Linked DNA regions of Saccharomyces cerevisiae S288C. Changing the gene in region 1 together with any one later gene gives a genetic interaction. Each region holds a gene or a part of one and is shown in the gene's direction. Other genes may lie near its edges. The genes, in order: HNT3 and NTG2.

Region 1 (5,162 bases):
TCACTTTGGATAATTTCCCGTTAGAACTCAACGGATTGAAATTTTCTTTAGAAAGTTCTAGATCATGCTTTTCATTCTTGTTATCATAATATGAAATTGATACATTGCCTGGATAATTAGAATAAACTGAGTATCCCATTTCTTTAACCAATTTCAACCCATTGTTGTCAAAAGATTCCTGAATGTATCGATAAATAGCTGCATCACCCTTCGTTCCGGATCCATGAGGCATGCTACTAATATATTCCAAATCTCTCTCAAACTTTGCCAAATCCACGGATTTTTTGGCATATTCAAAAAGTATATCGTGTTGAGAAAACATCCCTTTAGATCCTGATGCCTTTTCGTTGAATAAGTAGCCACTTGACAAGACATAATATGCAATAAATGACATGAAAATGATGTAAAAGAACCTTCGAAGTATAAAGGGATTTCCGATTTTACTTAAGTAATAGTCAGCTTTGTCTGGAACGAATTTTGATATTTGTAAGAGTGGATGAATGATGTTTTCCATTAAGGGTTCCAAAATTTTTTCCTGAAACCCAATTGAAACCCTCTGTAGATGTGTTCTTTTGTGAAGATCATCGTGAGGGTCCTCTATATCAAATTCATAAGAAGGTGGTTCAGGTGGAGGCGTTATATTAGTTTCTATACTGTTGTCGTTAGAACTAGGAGGAGAATCATCAAAACGCTGGCTCATCAACAGATTATGGGACGACGACGCAGTAGGTATAGCATTTTCATGTTCAAAGTTTGTAGTTGACACTGGTTGATAACTGCTCCTCATTAAAATTACTTGATCTCAATACCCGGGGGTATTATCTTGGTTTGCAAATTAGTTACAGATTTCAAATAACCCAAAGCTTGATGTATTTCTCTAGTATTGAGAGGCGTTTAGGAAAAGAACAACTTTAATGATGCAGGAAGTACTTGCTTAACTAGTTCTTGCCTGATGCCGTAATTTTATCTACTAAATTTCCAAGAGTTTTGGAGGCTTAACTATTGCGAAATAGAGAGAAAAAAAGAAGAATCCTAATTAGTAAGTATGGAAGAGATTTATTAAACGAGAAAGGAAGTGAACCAAAGAAGAAACGGAAATAAATCATACAGTATGAGTAAGAACAGGTCATCGCTACAGTCTGGTCCACTTAATAGCGAGTTATTGGAGGAGCAAAAGCAAGAAATATATGAGGCGTTTTCATTGTTCGATATGAACAATGATGGGTTCCTCGATTACCACGAGTTGAAAGTAGCAATGAAGGCCCTGGGATTTGAGCTACCCAAGAGAGAAATACTTGACTTAATAGATGAATATGATAGTGAGGGGCGGCATTTGATGAAGTATGATGATTTTTATATTGTAATGGGGGAAAAAATATTGAAGAGAGATCCGTTAGATGAAATAAAAAGGGCATTCCAATTATTTGATGACGACCATACTGGGAAAATAAGTATTAAAAACTTGAGGCGTGTAGCTAAAGAATTAGGAGAAACTTTGACGGATGAAGAGCTGAGAGCGATGATTGAAGAGTTTGATTTGGATGGTGATGGCGAGATTAATGAAAACGAATTTATAGCTATTTGCACCGATAGTTAATTATGACTATATATTTAATCTATAAAAATGATTTGTAACTATATTAGTATACTCCCGTGGGTCTCTCGTTTTCTGTTTTAACTTACATCTTGCCCAAGGATGCACTTAAAAGTGAAAAAGCCAATCTAATCCTGCAGGGCAACAATAAGAGAAGACAATAAAACAAAACACTGAAAAATGTCATGGAGGTATGCGTTAAAAAACTACGTTACCAGCCCAGAAACGGTAAACGATGATACAGTCACATACTTTGATGATAAAGTGTCCATAATTAGAGACTCGTTTCCTAAATCAGAGTGCCATTTATTGATTCTACCACGAACTATGCAGCTGAGTAGAAGTCATCCTACTAAAGTGATTGATGCTAAGTTTAAGAATGAGTTTGAATCATACGTTAATTCTGCGATTGACCACATCTTTAGGCATTTTCAAGAAAAGTTCCGAATAAAGAAGAGTGATGATGACAAAGACCCCTGCTGGGATGACATATTAAAAGACAAAAACAAGTTTGTAAGAAATTTTGTACAAGTTGGGATACACAGCGTGCCTTCGATGGCCAACTTACATATACACGTCATATCCAAAGATTTCCATTCGGTAAGATTGAAGAACAAAAAACATTATAATTCATTTAATACTGGATTCTTCATTAGTTGGGACGATTTACCATTGAACGGAAAAAATTTGGGCACTGACAAGGAAATTGAAACTACGTACCTGAAAGAACACGATTTACTTTGCTGCTATTGTCAGCGAAATTTTAGTAATAAATTTAGCTTATTGAAAAAGCATTTAGAACTAGAGTTCAATAGCCATTTCGAGCTTAAATAAGGCAAGCTTTCTCGCATTTCTTTTTGTTACTGATATACACATACCTATACATACACATGTCTTTTTAACATCATAATTTTTGGTATTCTATAGTGCCTTCCAATTTCTTAACTTCAGCTACTTTTCTTACGGCTTTCATTAAATCATCAGGGTTGATGTGATCACGGTCATCTCTTATGGCGAAAAAACCTGCTTCAGTTGCACAGTTACGAATATCAGCACCATTGAAACCATCACTCATTTTTACAGCAGCCTCGAAGTCAAATTCCCCTGTTTTTTTGACTTTTGCAGTATGAATTTTGAAAATTTCTAATCTGCCGGCCTCATTTGGCAATGGGATTTCAACTTTCCTGTCTAGTCTACCGGGCCTCAACAAAGCAGGATCTAAAGTATCTGGTCTATTCGTAGCCATGATGATTTTAGTCTGTCCAAGATTATCAAAACCATCCATCTGGGTCAACAACTCCATCAACGTACGTTGAATTTCACGGTCTGCTGAAGTACCTTCACTGAATCTTCTACCACCAATAGCATCCACTTCATCCATAAAAATGATGCAAGGTTCGTGTTCCTTTGCATATGCAAACATTTCTCTAATAATACGAGCAGACTCACCAATGTATTTATCCACAATACCAGACGCTGGAGAGAAAATGAAGTTGGCTCCAATCGTAGCAGCAACTGCCTTCGCTAGTAAAGTTTTACCAGTACCAGGGGGACCATATAGTAGCACACCCTTTGGAGGTTTGATACCGACCCTCTGGAAAATTTCTGGGTTCTTCAATGGTAATTCTATAACCTCCCTTAATTCTCTGATTTGCTCAGTCAAACCACCAATACCATCAAAAGTGATTTCACCTTGTTCAAAACTGGTCATATTATACACCAGTGGATCTGTCTCTCTGGGCAAAATTCTCATTATAGTCAAAGTGGTGATATCTAAGGTGACTCTCACCCCTTTCTTTAATTTAGAGCGATCTACCGAATTCCTAACTCCGACAATATAACGTGGGCCCGAAGAGGCCTTCACTATATATTTCTCTTCAGATAATTCCTTCATGACTTCGCCAATCAATTGTCCAATACTTTGCAAAGCTTTTATGTCGTTTTCAGTCTTGTCATATAACTTCTCTAGATCTCGTATATTTTGACGGCGCTGCTTCAATTGATCATCATACCTTCTGTGTTCTAGCAGCTTTCTCTTGAATTGATTCAAGGCCTTGTTATGGGCCTCCTGTTCAGGATCCACTCTAGAAGGCTCCTCTTCATGATGTTCTTCCGTTTCCTGTGGTTGTTCTGGTTGTTGTTCGTGTGACTGTTGGGTGTGATTGTCGCCGGACGTTTCCCCCAATCCTGCTAATAAAGGGTCCTGTTCTTCACTCATTCTTAGTTATTAATATCTTTGCTTCGTCTGTTATCTTTGGAACCGGTGCGAGGTACTAGATTTAATTTACTTCACTATGGTATTTCAAGCTTCCTTTCCCTTCGGTGGCAAATTCCACTATTTGAAAGGTCACCCGCCTATCGCAAAATTTTTCACTTCTCATCACTATATTGAAATATAACAATCAAGCACTTTACGATGCAACAGAAAATGCTGAACGCTGTGCTGACCAAAAGTTCCCACCGTTGATAGCTCCCCCCCCTATTGTCGTAGTCATGTCAATTCAGGCTTTTGTCTTTTGCGGTAAAGGTTCCAATTTGGCTCCCTTCACCCAGCCAGATTTTCCATTCCAAACGCAGAACAAAGACAGTACAGCTGCCACGAGCGGTGACAAACTTAATGAGTTGGTCAATAGCGCCCTCGATTCAACTGTCATAAATGAGTTCATGCAACATTCAACGCGCTTGCCCAAGGCTCTTTTGCCCATCGGTAATAGACCTATGATTGAATACGTCTTGGATTGGTGTGATCAGGCAGATTTCAAAGAAATCAGTGTGGTCGCACCCGTTGACGAAATCGAATTAATTGAAAGTGGACTGACTTCGTTTTTGTCCCTAAGAAAGCAACAATTTGAACTAATATACAAGGCTTTGTCAAATTCCAACCACAGTCATCACTTGCAAGATCCTAAGAAAATTAATTTCATCCCTTCGAAGGCAAATTCTACAGGTGAGTCCTTGCAAAAAGAGCTTTTGCCTAGAATCAATGGCGATTTTGTAATCTTGCCCTGTGATTTTGTCACAGATATACCTCCACAAGTCTTGGTCGATCAATTTAGGAATAGGGATGATAATAACCTAGCAATGACTATCTACTATAAGAACTCTTTAGATAGTAGTATCGATAAAAAGCAACAGCAAAAGCAAAAACAACAGCAATTTTTCACTGTTTATTCAGAAAACGAAGACTCAGAGAGGCAGCCAATACTTTTGGACGTTTATTCTCAAAGGGACGTCACAAAGACAAAATATCTACAGATCAGATCTCATTTATTATGGAACTATCCAAATTTAACAGTATCCACTAAGTTACTGAACTCATTCATCTACTTTTGTTCCTTTGAACTTTGCCAGTTGTTAAAATTAGGACCTCAATCAATGTCAAGACAAGCTTCATTCAAAGATCCATTTACTGGAAACCAACAACAGCAAAACCCTCCTACTACTGATGATGATGAAGATCGCAATCATGATGATGACGATGATTACAAACCTTCGGCTACATCTATCCAGCCTACCTACTTCAAAAAAAAGAATGATCTCATCTTGGACCCAATAAACTGTAATAAAT
Region 2 (15,030 bases), 560 kb from region 1:
TTCTCGATAAGAATTCTGGAATCTGCATTTAAACCAGAAAATGACAACACCACATGCGAGTCAATTTTGGAAACTTTGGAAGGCGTAATTCTAGTGTCTTGCAGCTTCAAAGTAGACCTTCTTTCGCAGCCCAATACTACACAATTCTTACCCTTGACACCTACAGCACAGGTACCCCTCTTTACCGCCTCCAGGGCGTACTCCACTTGGAAAATGTGTCCATCTGGGGAGAAAATGGACAAAGCTCTATCGTAACCACTCATTTTGTGTAATTGTGTTTATGCAACTGATCCTGATGAACTGCTGAGCACTAACTTGAAGGTTTTGCTACCACCTATATATGATGTCTTTTCTTTCCCTTCCGGTGGCAAAAGAATCTTCGAAAAGATTAAGAAATACCGTTGCCCGGATGATATTCTTACCCATAGTAATGGTCCTTAAAGCTTTAATCGTCAATGAACAAGGGCACACAGCACACTAGGTCTCAATTCATTTCCAAATATTCAAAGAAAGCGACGTGAGTATTTTATTTAAGTACTAGGTACGCAATTGATGGGATATTCAACTTATATGATTTGATGAAATACATGGGGTCCTTCCTGAGGAAAGCGGCTACAACAAATTTATTCAATAGCATAAAAAAAAGGAAGGTACAAAACAGAGCCATGTCATAGAGCAAAGAAAGAGCACACATAATATTCTAACCAGTAAAACAATCGGTTTGAATTTTGAAGATGAAGAAGTATATTTATATATAATTTCTTCCCTTTTTTTTTTATTTTTTTTTTGAAACAATGCATTAAACCATTACTTATATTATTTATATGTATAAATAGATATTAAATCATGGATTTAAACTTGAAAAGGATTAGGAAAAAAAGAGTATGGTCGCCGTAAAAAAGAGGAAAGGGTTTATTTTTGCGCCCTTCCCTCTATAACTTCCAAGATATGATATAACGAGATTGCACAAATTTACTCAACCTTAGTCGAATAAACCGAAACCCATGTCGTCGTCAGATTCTTCAGCGGCTTCTTCTTCCTTTTCTTCTTCAGCAGCAGCATCACCAGAGGCAGCAGCAGCACCGCCAGCAGAAGCTGGACCAGCAGCTGGAACAGCAGCCAACTTTTCGTTACCTTCAGTAATTAATTCGTCAACAGACTTACCTTCCAAAGCGGACAAAACGGAGGAAACCTTTTCGTCTTCGATTTCGATACCGACGGATTCCAAAATAGCCTTAATCTTGGTGGCATCTGGGGTGTTACCAGCAGCGTTCAATAATAGGTAAGCAGCTAAGTACTTCATTTTTGTATGATTGGTTCTGTTGTTGTGTATGAATTTCCAATGAGAAAAAAATCACTAAAATAATAGAAAAAGCTTTTGAATAAACGGAAGTAGAAATTACCAGAAGTAACAATTGAAAAACCTCGAATAATAACGGCTCTCCGCTACTAGGTTAACTAAACTTCAAGCGGGTATCAACGCTTTGGAGTTCCATGCAAAATGTTTCACGTTTCGCGCGTCTTCCGCATATCGTCCGGTATAGTCTCTCCCCTGGTATTCCCCTCGGCTGCCATGAGTTACAGCCTCAAAACAGGTACAAAACTTTTTTAATCCGTACACCGCGCGTATAAATCAATGTTATGTCTGGGCGTATAGTCCCGGAAACCGTGTTGGGCGGCAGTTCCGCCCAACACGGGCCTAGACACTTAGAGGGAGCGTCCTCCTAGAACCGATTTTCGTTTCTCTTTGGAAGGTCTCTTCCGTCCGTTTCACTCGGAGTAGGTTCTCTGAGAAACTCCTTGCTGGGAAGCTGCGAGACAACACCGTAATCGTCTGCTTGGCCCTTCCTATCCGCAATCAATTTATTCCTTTTTAATCTTTTGTGCAGAGTTTCACATTATGGTATGGTCTCTTCTTTTATTTGTTCTTGGATTTCATTTTTTTCTTATTTGTTAGTGCTTATCCTTACATTGTAGAATAAGACGAACTAGAAGTACACAACAAGATAATCACGACCGATCATGTCTCAAGCTGTTAATGCCAAGAAGAGAGTTTTTAAGACCCACTCTTACAGAGGTGTCGATTTGGAAAAATTGTTGGAAATGTCCACTGAAGATTTCGTCAAGTTGGCCCCAGCTAGAGTTAGAAGAAGATTTGCCCGTGGTATGACTTCCAAGCCAGCCGGTTTCATGAAGAAGTTGAGAGCTGCCAAGTTGGCTGCCCCAGAAAATGAAAAGCCAGCTCCAGTCAGAACCCACATGAGAAACATGATCATTGTTCCAGAAATGATCGGTTCCGTCGTCGGTATCTACAACGGTAAGGCTTTCAACCAAGTTGAAATCAGACCAGAAATGTTGGGTCACTATTTGGGTGAATTCTCCATTACTTACACCCCAGTCAGACATGGTAGAGCCGGTGCTACTACTTCCCGTTTCATCCCATTGAAATAAGCTCCCTAATAACAGAATCGCAGTCATCCTTGTATCTTTTTTATATATAATGTCTAGGTATTAGGAAAATAAAATTTTTGTTTATTGGTATTATTATTATAATCTATTATATTATATTTGTTTAATTTCTTTTATGAAGTGAATGGGGGTTGTACACGGAAAGCAACAATAGCACTTGTTTCCGCAGACAGCTTTTAAATTGCCTTCCATCATTACTGTAAATGTTCGTCCTCATATATGATATATATTGTAAGCGGACGTGAAACCTCAACTCAAGTGCTTCATTTACTGTCACGGACTACTTTCATCAACTTTCTATTTTCTTTGATATATTGATCACTTAAAACGAACTTCGAAATTTTTTCAAGCTCATCGCAATTTTTTTTTGCTTGTCTAAATTTTAAACTGTTATATTGAAGGTAGATAGCTTGAGGCACTTTATTAAGAAAACAGTCGACATATCATCCACCAGATTATCACGCTATAAATTTTAAAGTGAAAAATGTCCTCTGCAATTGACAATCTCTTTGGTAACATTGATGAGAAAAAAATAGAATCTTCAGTAGATAAGCTATTTAGTTCATCCTGTGGACCTATTAATAAATTGGAAGTCAAAAGCAAAACACGTACTGTCCTTCCTGATTCGAAGAAAAGGGAAAGAGCTGCCGAAGCTGATCAAGAAGAAAAAGAAGCAAGCAAACCTGATGTTTCAGATGAGCAAACTGAAGAAGTTGCCCTTCCAAAAGTAAAGAAGGCCAAAAAAAGTAAAAGGAATGACGAGGATGAAGACTTAGAAGCCCGCTATTATGCGAAACTACTAAATGAAGAAGCTGAGGCTGAGGATGATAAACCAACAGTAACGAAAACTGATGAAACTTCAGTACCACTGACATCAGCAGCTAAGAAAGTTGATTTCAAAGAAGACGAGTTAGAAAAGGCAGAAAGAACTGTTTTCATTGGTAACATCTTAAGTACTGTCATCACATCTAAAAAGGTTTATAAAGAATTCAAAAAACTTTTTGGTACAAATCCGATAGCAGAAACTGAGGAATCTGGTAATGAAAAAGAAGAGGAAAGTTCTAAGAAAAGTGACAATAACGAATTTGCCATTGAAAGCATAAGATTCAGATCTATTTCCTTTGATGAAGCTCTTCCTAGAAAAGTTGCGTTTGTCCAACAAAAATTTCATAAGTCAAGGGATACAATAAACGCTTACATCGTCTATAAGAATAAGTCTGCTGTAAGAAAAATCTGCTCGAATTTGAATGCTGTCGTTTTCCAAGATCATCACTTAAGAGTTGATTCAGTTGCTCATCCAGCTCCGCATGATAAGAAGCGTTCAATCTTTGTAGGTAACTTGGATTTTGAAGAAATAGAAGAAAGTCTTTGGAAACATTTTGAACCATGTGGCGATATTGAATATGTCCGTATTATCAGAGATTCAAAGACAAATATGGGTAAGGGATTTGCTTATGTTCAATTTAAAGATTTACAAAGTGTAAACAAAGCACTTTTATTGAACGAAAAGCCTATGAAGTCACAAAAACAAGAAGACGAAAATACAAAGAAACCAACTAAAAAGGCAAGAAAATTGCGTGTTTCCAGATGTAAGAACATGAAGAAGGGTACTACTATTGGGACCGGCTTGGATAGAAATGGGTTGACAGATTCACAAAGAACCAGAGCAGGTAGAGCTAAAAAGATTTTAGGTAAGGCTGATAGAGCCACTTTGGGCCAAGAGATAACTATCGAAGGTTTAAGAGCAAAGAAAGGCGAAGGTTCCACCCATCTAAAAAAGAAGAAACAAAGATCCGCTACAGGTAGGGTTACCAAAAGATCGATAGCATTCAAGAAAGCTCAAGCTGAAAAGAGCAAGAAATAGTTTCATTAGTTTTCACACAATATCAATTTTGTTAGAGATACACTGTATATTATTACTAGTTATTTCTTATCTCTTGTAGCTTCCTCTATACATGCTGGCATTTTTTTACATAGTTCTAATAGTATAATATACATATAAAAAAGAAAAATCATGCGTTTTATATATTTCTATAAATACATTCATACCCAAATTATGGAACACGTTCGGAATATTACTTAAAGAATACTGCAATAATGGAAAGAATATTTGAAATGAATAAAAAGTATGATAACAAGGTTATAAGAGAGGTACAAATAAAATAAAACAAGGAATGAAGAAAAAAAGCACAAAAAAGGCAAGATAGTAATGCCTCACAGTATTTTGAATTCTGTTAGTAGAGGTATATGATCACTAGGATGGTTTTCATTGGGTAAACCCAACTGATTAGACGCTAGCAATTCGTCTGATACTTCATTACCGGTTAGGATCTTAGTTAGTAAAAAATCTGAATCATGGTACCATACGTAATCAAAGATGCCCTTCAATTTTCCTGAATAGCACGTATGTACAAAATAATCCTTTGGTATATCGTCATAGACACAACGATCCAAATACGGCCTCATTGGGTTAATAAGATTAAGGTCTCCATGGCTAACTATCTGACCTTGCAGAAAATTAACAACTAGCGAATCTCTTGTAGAATTTAGATCACCAGTGAATAAAATCTTCACCCTTTCTTGGCCTTTTACATCTCCCGGTAGGAGCTGCTTAATGATCTTTGATAACTCTCTCATTATAATCATGCATTGTGTTAGCTTAACTTCGTCATATTTCCAATACAAATGAGTATTTAAAACGACAAAAATAGTACCCGTCTCCTTATGTCTTAGAGATACGAATAAGCATACCTGATTCTTGCCTTTTAAAACATCCAATAAGCTGTCTTCACCAATAACATTGGAAGCACCATCGGTTAATGTTACCTTCTTATTGTATAAGTATTTCAGTTCCCTTTGATTGAAAACATTCAGTAGCTGGTTTAAGTAGATCCCTGATGACGATATAAAGTCAAATTTTGCAAGATTATAGAAAATAGATACACCGTCCATATCTTTAACCGGTTTTTTCCAATACTTTGGGGGTGTCTTGGAAATGAATTTGGACCCATAATTGACATCTACCCCTATGGAATCGTGCCAATAATCTTCATAATCTCTTGCGGTCATTTCTTGGAGACACATAATATCAGCCTTGAAAGTATTCAAAAGTTCTTTCTCCAGCAGTCTGTGCCTATAACTCCAGTTTTTGTATGGCTCTGCAACGTATGTGTATACCTGTGGCCACATATATGACGGTGAGAGCATGTTGTATGTTAATAAAGTGAACCTAGCATCTTTTCGCACATATTTACCGATGTTTTGCTTAGTTGACTGAACAACTGGAATAAACCTTCGAGTAAACATTGTTACTTGTATGAGCAGTAAATCTCTCTCCAATGTTCTTTTTTGCCGTTATCCAGCTTAGTTTGTGTAGATCTCCTTTCTTCTCTAACAGGAACAATTAAACAACTCATGGTTAATTTGTTAGTTTTGTTGCCGAGAAATCAAAATCAGCTGGTGAAGCAGTTATCCTAACTTGGGAATATACATGTAGTAGAAAGGAAGGAAGGCAAGGACCTCTTTAGCATTTTGAATCTGTTGCTTATTGGGAGCACACAAAAAATGTATAAGCACAACGTCTTTCACAGTATATAATGAGAGAGGAAAGTAGGTCTAGGAAGAGAAAGCATATTCCTGTTGATATTGAAGAGGTAGAAGTTCGATCTAAGTATTTCAAAAAGAATGAGAGAACTGTTGAGTTAGTAAAAGAAAATAAAATCAATAAAGATTTGCAAAATTACGGCGGAGTAAATATTGACTGGATCAAGGCACTGAAGCCAATAGAGTATTTTGAATGGATCGAATCAAGGACTTGTGATGATCCGAGAACTTGGGGACGGCCAATAACTAAAGAAGAAATGATTAACGATTCTGGGGCGAAAGTTCCTGAGAGTTTCTTACCCATATATAATCGGGTGAGATTAATGAGGTCCAAGGTTAAAACCCCGGTAGATGCTATGGGATGTAGCATGATTCCTGTTTTAGTTTCTAATAAATGTGGGATACCTAGTGAAAAAGTCGATCCAAAGAATTTCAGGCTTCAATTTCTTATTGGCACTATGCTTTCTGCTCAAACGAGGGACGAAAGGATGGCGCAAGCGGCTTTGAATATCACCGAATACTGCTTAAACACATTAAAAATAGCAGAGGGTATTACGCTAGATGGACTGCTTAAAATTGATGAACCTGTATTAGCAAATCTAATTCGATGCGTTAGCTTCTATACCAGAAAAGCCAATTTCATCAAAAGAACCGCACAATTATTGGTAGACAATTTCGATTCAGATATACCGTATGATATAGAGGGAATTCTCTCGTTACCTGGAGTTGGACCTAAAATGGGATATTTAACACTGCAAAAAGGTTGGGGGCTGATTGCCGGCATATGCGTCGATGTTCATGTCCATAGGCTGTGTAAAATGTGGAATTGGGTAGACCCTATTAAGTGTAAGACTGCCGAGCATACTAGAAAGGAGTTACAGGTTTGGCTACCTCACTCACTGTGGTACGAAATAAACACCGTTTTGGTTGGATTTGGTCAATTGATCTGCATGGCCAGGGGTAAGAGGTGTGATTTATGTCTAGCAAACGATGTCTGCAATGCTCGCAATGAGAAGCTAATCGAATCTTCCAAATTTCATCAATTGGAGGACAAAGAAGACATCGAGAAAGTATATTCGCATTGGTTGGACACGGTTACAAATGGAATTACAACAGAAAGACACAAGAAAAAATAGAACCACCATTCATTGTGGAAAAAGATGAAAAACCATTATGTATGTCATTAAAATAAGTAGGTAGGGTTTTATAAACTATTCAAATATTTCTCATATACTCGCTAGAAGTTTTAGCAACCCTACAATCTGGGGGTATACAGTGTGAAAGGCCGCTGGAACATGTTTGAAAATTGCCATCAATGACTTATATTTTTTCAAACATAAGAGTAGCAGCAGACCTGTGAGCAGAAGTCCGTTTTTGTTCAGCACACTTCTTGTGAAATGATGCTTCAGGACAGCCCAAAATGAACCAGCCAGAACAGTAATATCATTGTTTTTTTTACGGGGCGCCGTTCCAGTACTCTGGAGTCTACTATCAGTAGAGGTGCGTTGATTAAACGCATCCTCAACCTTAACCTGTTCTTCACTACTATTGTGTAACATAGGCTCGTGAAAATGGTGTATTTTCTGTTTCACTCCTCTTTGTTTACCTTTAGACTTCGCCTTATCTTTTTGTATTTTATTATCTATTGAGTTCAGAATAGCATCCTCTATGGAAACATCTTTAGATAAGTAAAGGCCCTTTAGGGTTGGAGATAACTTAGGTAATGTTTTGCAAAGCGCCCAATACATATTCGGTGAGGGTTTTTTATGATGCAGTTTTACCTTCACCTGAAAGATGAATATCTCGATTAATTCTTGTAAGCCAACTACATCTATAGTTGTCCTCATTTTCGTTATGTATACGAAAATGAAATCACTCATTATGGATTCAAGCTCCAGAGTTTTTTCTTCTTGTTCGGTGTGATCAGTTAAGTTAAACTGAATAACCTTGATACAGCATCGAAAGAATTTATTGATGACCAAAAGTTTACTGAGGTCACCGAGAATAATTTTTCTTGTCTCAATACATTGAGGGGTATCTAACGTGAAAATATTCAAAATCTCACTCTGCAGTGTTAAACCTAATTTGGTAAAGCTGGGCATAATATCACAGGCGCTGACAAATAAATCTAATATCATAGGGTTGGACTTGAAAACGGTAATATCAATAAATCCAACCTCAGACATTTTTTCTAGGCAATCCTTGATATCTCTTTTTATGAAAAGGTTCACACATTCTTGAAATACTTCACTCCTCTGATCATTTACCGACTTGGTCGATTCATCACTTTCAATGAATAAGTCATCGTTAAGTAAATCCCTTAGAGAAGAATCGAGGGAATGCATAGGCAGATTGTTCATTATCTCACTTGCAGCCATTATTCACAGAACCCTCTTGTATAAACCACACCGTAGTACGTTCTGCTAGTGCCTCTTTCTGTTTACCTAACTATTTCTCTTGCCTAAATATGTAAGTCTACGATGACTTTTCTATGGTACTTGATGTCACTCCGACGGCGATAAGCCGCTCAGCGCAGAAGTTTGCCCCAAAATAGAATGAAAGAAAATACTGCATAGAGGCTGGACAAGAAGGATATAGAGCAATGATATGATATTAAAAATGTAATTAATATATAGCCAAAAAAAGAATAGAACATTTATGAAGGTAAATGGTTATGAAAATGGATTAAATTATTCTTTCCCTTTATCTTGGAGAGTACGGAAAACTAGATTTTAAGCCATTTATCTTCATATATTTCATCAATAGTAGGTCTTTTATCAACTTCTCTTGTCAAAATTCTTTTTATCAAACTGATGCATTCTTCACTGACATGTTCCGATTTATCGAACCTTAATTCACCTTCCAAGATTTCATCAATGTTGTAATAAGGATTCTCTTTATAAATTATGGTATAAAGTAGCACACCAAGAGCCCAAATATCTTGTGGTTTACCTTTGTAAGAGGAACCACCAAGGACTTCAGGTGCAGCATAGTCCATTGTTCCCACAAAAACATCGAATGGTCCACTCTTGATATAGGCAGCCGAACCGAAATCGATTAATTTTACAAAGCCATGAGAATCAACAATAACATTTTCGTCCTTTATGTCTCTATGAACAATTCCTTGGTCATGTAAATGCTTTATACTAGCGACTACCTGTTTAAACACCAGTTTAGCTTCATGTTCAACCATATCTTTTTTGAATTCGATAACATCAAATAGATCAATACTACCAGTTTCTCCATGGACCGGTGTTTCAATGTAATAATAATCGTCATCTTCAAAAAAATCTAATAACTTCAAGATATTTTCTTGGGAATTTTTATTCAAGGTCGCCATAATTTGGATCTCAGAAGGTATAGTACCTAATTTTCTATCTCTCACCCATGTGTCTACTAAAATCCTCTCTTTGAAAATCATTTTGATGACCACGATATAGTGTTCTCTGTTATGAATGCATAAATTGACTTTACCGTACGCACCCTCACCCATCACTTGCAGAATAGTAAAATCAGAAAATTTCTTTATGCGCTTTTGTGAGCCTATATTAGCCTCTGGAGTAGTCAAGTACGTAGCTTTTAAAGTAGAATTTCTTTTGTCTAGCTCATTTGTTTCCTTTTTGATTTCTTCTCCGTTTATCGGTTCAATTATCCTCATTATAAATTTTTCATCCACTTTAAAGTTGTCGTCCTTTACAAATTTTGATTTGTCCTGCGTGTACATTTTCGTTAATTCAATTTTATGTTTTAACTCAGGATCATCAACCATTGTCATGTCATCGTCATAGTTATTGTTGTCATTAGATTCGATACCTCTCACTTTACCGCAAGAAGTTTCTCGTAGTTTTTCATTCACTTGATTTAAGTCTACTTCATCGTCTGAATTAGAAATCGTTTCAGCGGAGCTAATCGACAGATCAGCCATTGCCTTCAAAGTATTCACAGGAATTTTTTCCGAAGATTTCTTGGAAGATGCACTGGAACTACCTCTACTGCCAACGACATCAATTTCGTTCTCCTTTAACATCGGTAGCTGCGAAGGAACGGTGGTATAATTTTCAATGACCACGTCTCTTGAGTGTGTAATCCATAATAATACAGCATTCGTATTCAAGACCCGTAATTGAACATCCACCTTTATCAAATTACCATCTTTGTGACAGCCGTCTAGACCAATAGAAGTGTAAAACGAGTCCTTATCATGATGCATTTCAGCCTCAATTTTTCTGAAAAAATGTTCTGTTAAAACCAATCCTTTATTTTCTGGTAATGTGATATTTAACATAGGATAAGTTTTATTGATATAAGATATCATGTCCGCCAAAGAAGGAACCAACTTAGTAACCGAACTACCGGCCAACTCGTGAAGTCGCAAGCCAAACATGTTTTTGGCGACTGATTTGTTGAAACTTAAAAGACTTAAAGTGTGACTGTCAACAATAAATAGCCCAGCCTGATAGGGCAAACTATGAATTTTTAATTTTATTTCGTTTTCCAATACGGAAGTTGTAACAGCACATGGTATATTTTCAGATAGACAATTCAACGTAAAATATCTCTCTTCGTTGACATGATTTGCCACCCTGATAGACAAGGGTAATAAATCATCATCTGCAGAAAACACTTTTCCAAAACGTACATCATCAATTAGTTTACTCAGTGAGTGACTTACTGACCCAATATCGTGAATTTCATTTGCAAATTTTACCGTTTTCTTTTCTGTCATTGGCGAAGTTGATTCTTGCTGCTTTTTCTTGTCAAAGTTTTCCAGAAAGTGTGTTGTATCAATAATGCTGTCCACTGAAAAATCTCTCAAGTTTAACATGACGTCAATGTAATCGCAAGGCGTTTTTTCAAATACGCAGACCAGTAGGCCATTCTTCCGCTTGGCCCATAGTGAAGCCCAAATCAGATTTGGTACATTATTATTGCTTGTCGAATTTGGCTGGACGATAGGTATAGTTTCTCCGGTAAACACAATTTCTTGGTTATCATCTTCTGCATTCATGATTTTCTCTAGAACAAAATTTCTGCTATCCGTATGAATAAGGTCTAGTAAAGTAAGTGCCTTGATAACATTCTTTGATATACCGAACGTTAGACACGCCAAATCATTGGCAGCTTTGAAGTTCCAGGGGTATTGTTGAGAACATGTAAAAATGGCCTCTGGACCAGAATTTTTTGCAGATGTGAAAGGATGAAGAATTCGGCTATAGTCCTGTTGTGGTTTGATGTCTGCTAAGGAGACTATATCATCGTGTTTCTCCTCATATTCATTATATTGCGATTTCGAACCTAAATCTTTGTGAGGGAACTTCTTGTAGTTTTCAAAAAATGGTTCTGCTAAACTATCTAATAAAACCTTTTTCAAAGTTTCTGATTTTTGAATGTCTGAATCAAAGTTTATTTTCTTGATATTCAATAACGATAGCATGTGTAAATCGGAAGCTCTTTCGAAGGAATTGTTTTCCAATGCTAAATTTAGCAAGAATAACAAGTTTTCTAACTCGGACTTGGCTGGATTCAGTTTACTGGCAGTATCATTATCAGGCAACACCATTAAGGACGTTGCTCTCTGTATCACGGGTCTACTAGCAGGAGATGGCATATTGGATACTAATGGTGAAATTAGAGACCCATTTAACGGATCTCGCGATGCTGATAACGTGGCAGTCTCTGTTAAGTTTCTTGTGTGTCTAAGTGAGGGGGGGTATGCTATTACGGGTGCTTTTTTCTTCAACTCATGTAAGATGTCAGGACTGTTTACCATTATTTCCAAAGACCTTCTTAAGATGGTCAACCTTACTCCCAGTGAGTTTGGTGATATGGGATTATACGAAAATGCATGCGGCGACTCATTAGGTACAGCAACAAGGTCCGAACGATCATCATCACTGAATGTTGACGAAAACGAATCGACGGACGAGGAAGCGTGTTGGTACAAGCATGGAGGTTTAGAGAGCCCTACCAACGGGGTATTTTTAGAATATGAAATGTCGGCAGGAGCGGCTGCACTAACCGGGTATGTCATTGTGTTCTTTGTTTATGATTCTTTACTTTAATCTAGCAGGGCAGAGGAGTAACAATAAAACGCCCTGCAAAGAAGTATGATTACTGTTCTTGCCAGACTTAGAATTCTAAGTGTTAAAAGTCACCAATAAGGAAGGAAAAAAGTTTATGATAGTTTATACTGTTGTTGTTACTACCTGCTCCGTTATGTTTCTAACAAGGAATAAAACAGGGTATAGACGTGATGTCAGCTTAAAGAGGAAAACGAAATATGTAAACTTTGTTAAAAATAAACAGGGCCCCTTATTGATCGTTCGCGATGCTATTATTTTATAAGCCAGCCTTTATCGTTTCTTTTGATCTTGTTTCTTTTTCTTGTTTTTTTTTTTAACTTCGTTCTCTTTTCACGTACTGATTACTCACACCAGGAGAAAGAAGTTGAAAAATGCTGTTATTCTCTGGAACACGCTATTAGATAGTACTTGCTGGTTCCGTAGACAAACAGCTCTTGCGCTTTATCACTTCGACAAGTGTCTTTACAGCTTCGCGATGACATATCGTCTCTTGCCCCTGCCCCACCTGTAACAATAGCTTGGCCAAAAAAGAAAAAAATGTTCCGACGAATTTTTCCGCTGATTTTGGCTGATCGCGTCGCGCCACAAAAACGAAACTTCCATAATAAAACATTATATAAAGCTTTTTATTATTATTATTATTACTTTCTTAGTTATAGCATTAGAACTATAAGAGCTGCTAAGACACCAAGCAAACATGTCGACTAGACCCCAACCTGATTGGTATTACCATAGACATCCATATGCCTCTACGCCACTGGCAGAAGGGGAGGAACCACAATTACTCCCCATCCAAGACCAAGGGAACCATAAGAAATCAAAAATTTGGATGGCATACAAGGCTCCGATAGTTCGATGGTACAAGAATGCTATGCTTGTTAAAGACAATTTTTGGAAAGACCTAGAGTCGTCGCACCAGATCATCTGGTATCCGTATAAAGTATGTTGATGTTCCAATAAGCAGATCATGTTTTTTAAGCCGTCATACTAACCGCCTTTGAAGGGAATTAGCGAATCCGTGGGAAACTCGGATTATTTGCATCTATTTTTCCTAATATTTGGATACTACCTGCTGAATCTCCTGCTTATTGTTGCGTTTACGTCAATCCTTGCGTGGTCCTTGTTAGTGTGCATCTATTTGCCCTTTCTCGGACTCTTTGCGTTACCTCTGGCTTATATGCAAACTATTCTGATTTCCACAACGCTATGTAATTCTATGGTGAAGGGTACCGATTTCGTTCTTTTCACACGTATTTATGGAGTGACGTTCGCAAGAAAGGGATTAACAGAGTTGAGTGAAGCCTGTGAAACGATAAGTTTCACGCCCTTTGTCTACAGAAGGTCACATCGTTTGGGTGGCCTCTTTTCGAAACGGTTTTACCTCGTCTCTTTGCCGCAGTTTTTCATTTTTTTCTTCTGGTACATCTTCATAGCCTTTATGTTTCTTTTATTGTTGCTCGTTCCAATAGTGGGTCCAATTACAATCAATATGCTACCATTTAGCCCCGGAATGGGATTTTACTATTTTGAGCCTTATTTTGTTGACGTGCTACATTTGGATTCGCGCAAACTTTCCAAAGTTTACTACAAGGGCTTTGCCAAGTGGCTCCTTTACTCGATATCCAGCGGTTTATTAGAGTCTATTCCCATTCTGGGTGGGTTGTTCATTGGAACAAACGCAGTAGGTGCTTCGCTTTGGATAGTTAAAGAGATAAAAGACCGGGACCAGCCAGCCGTACCTCCTTCCCCTCCTGCGGAACCAGAAGAGCCTACTGTAGGATCCTATGCACCTCCAATCCAACAATCTATAGCTCACATTAATCCGCCATGAAGCTCGCAACTCTTTTACATACCAATTTATATATTCATTATATGTTTACATATATAAATATATATATATACTATATACTATATATTACTTGCTAATAATATTCGTTTCTTTTCAACATTTGTATATGCATAAAAAATTTGGGAAATCAGGGGACTTATGAAAATCAGGGTGGTTACACTCGGAACTTCAAAACCTAAATAAAGTAAATCACTTTCAAGAAAGGTGAAGGGACGTCAAAAAAAGGAAAAAAAGGGCAAGGTATATCCCTGAGGACCCCTGGTTGGCTGTAAAGACAAACTAAGGATGAAAGCCGGAATTGAGCTTATAAGTCACAGCCAGGCTTCTCACGCCACATATGCTAATTCTATGACCCTTGCAGAAAAGGGGCCACAACGTTTAAAAAGACAATTCAAAGAACACAGTTCTTCAAAGGAAAGTAACGTAAGTCGTTGGCTAAAGATTTTCATAAGACAGTTTGATATTTGGTTTCCTGAAACGATACCAACAATGAAAGTGAGATACGAACTGCTTAGAAAAAACTTCATTAAAGAAATTTTCAACTCAAGAGCATTTATCTACCCATTCTTAGTAAGTACATGATTTTTGTTTGCATTGATATGACTTGTTTTATGACTAACATATTTAATTTTTATTTGTTAACCGTAGGGGTTTTATGAAGTGCTGACGAATCCTGTTTATTGGAAGCATATTTTACTGTTTGCGGTTTGCTATGCCCTGATTTTTGTCACTATTGCTGGTCTCTTTTATGTCACACTTGTACCGCTTTTAGTGACATGGGCCATACTGTTATTAGGGCCTCTTGGTGTGATACTGGTTCATATTCAATGGATTTTACAAACGAATGTCTTGACTGCCTTTGTTTGTAGAACACTGGTCCTGACCCATATTACGAATCAGATATTTGATATATCTTTGGTGTTGCAAGACCAAGATGAATTTCTAAACGAGGTGAAGGTATTGCCTAAACCACAAAAGCCACATAGAAAAATCGATGAACCTGATGCGGTGAGAAATTTCAACACA

Evidence for each region.
Region 2: mutations in HNT3 (region 1) and NTG2 impair growth when combined (synthetic growth defect), as found in Saccharomyces cerevisiae (one study listed by BioGRID).

The regions. Positions count from the first base shown.
Region 1 is NC_001147.6:809,897-815,058, forward strand, and holds HNT3 (DNA 5'-adenosine monophosphate hydrolase), read left to right. Parts: upstream 1-1,774; coding exon 1,775-2,428; downstream 2,429-5,162. Other genes in the region: TRE2 (putative zinc metalloprotease), read right to left, coding at 1-787; CDC31 (centrin), read left to right, coding at 1,112-1,597; proteasome regulatory particle base subunit RPT4, read right to left, coding at 2,499-3,812; GCD1 (translation initiation factor eIF2B subunit gamma), read left to right, coding at 4,088-5,162. UniProt on the Saccharomyces cerevisiae protein: DNA-binding protein involved in single-strand DNA break repair, double-strand DNA break repair and base excision repair.
Region 2 is NC_001147.6:240,570-255,599, reverse strand, and holds NTG2 (bifunctional N-glycosylase/AP lyase NTG2), read left to right. Parts: upstream 1-6,065; coding exon 6,066-7,208; downstream 7,209-15,030. Other genes in the region: PRE6 (proteasome core particle subunit alpha 4), read right to left, coding at 1-263; YOL038C-A (uncharacterized protein), read left to right, coding at 579-674; ribosomal protein P2 RPP2A, read right to left, coding at 983-1,303; 40S ribosomal protein uS19 RPS15, read left to right, coding at 2,023-2,451; rRNA-processing protein NOP12, read left to right, coding at 2,954-4,333; NGL1 (RNA exonuclease), read right to left, coding at 4,684-5,775; PEX15 (Pex15p), read right to left, coding at 7,299-8,450; serine/threonine protein kinase PSK2, read right to left, coding at 8,798-12,103; LDS2 (Lds2p), read left to right, coding at 12,853-13,095, 13,159-13,986; RRT8 (Rrt8p), read left to right, coding at 14,290-14,574, 14,653-15,030. UniProt on the Saccharomyces cerevisiae protein: Bifunctional DNA N-glycosylase with associated apurinic/apyrimidinic (AP) lyase function that catalyzes the first step in base excision repair (BER), the primary repair pathway for the repair of oxidative DNA damage.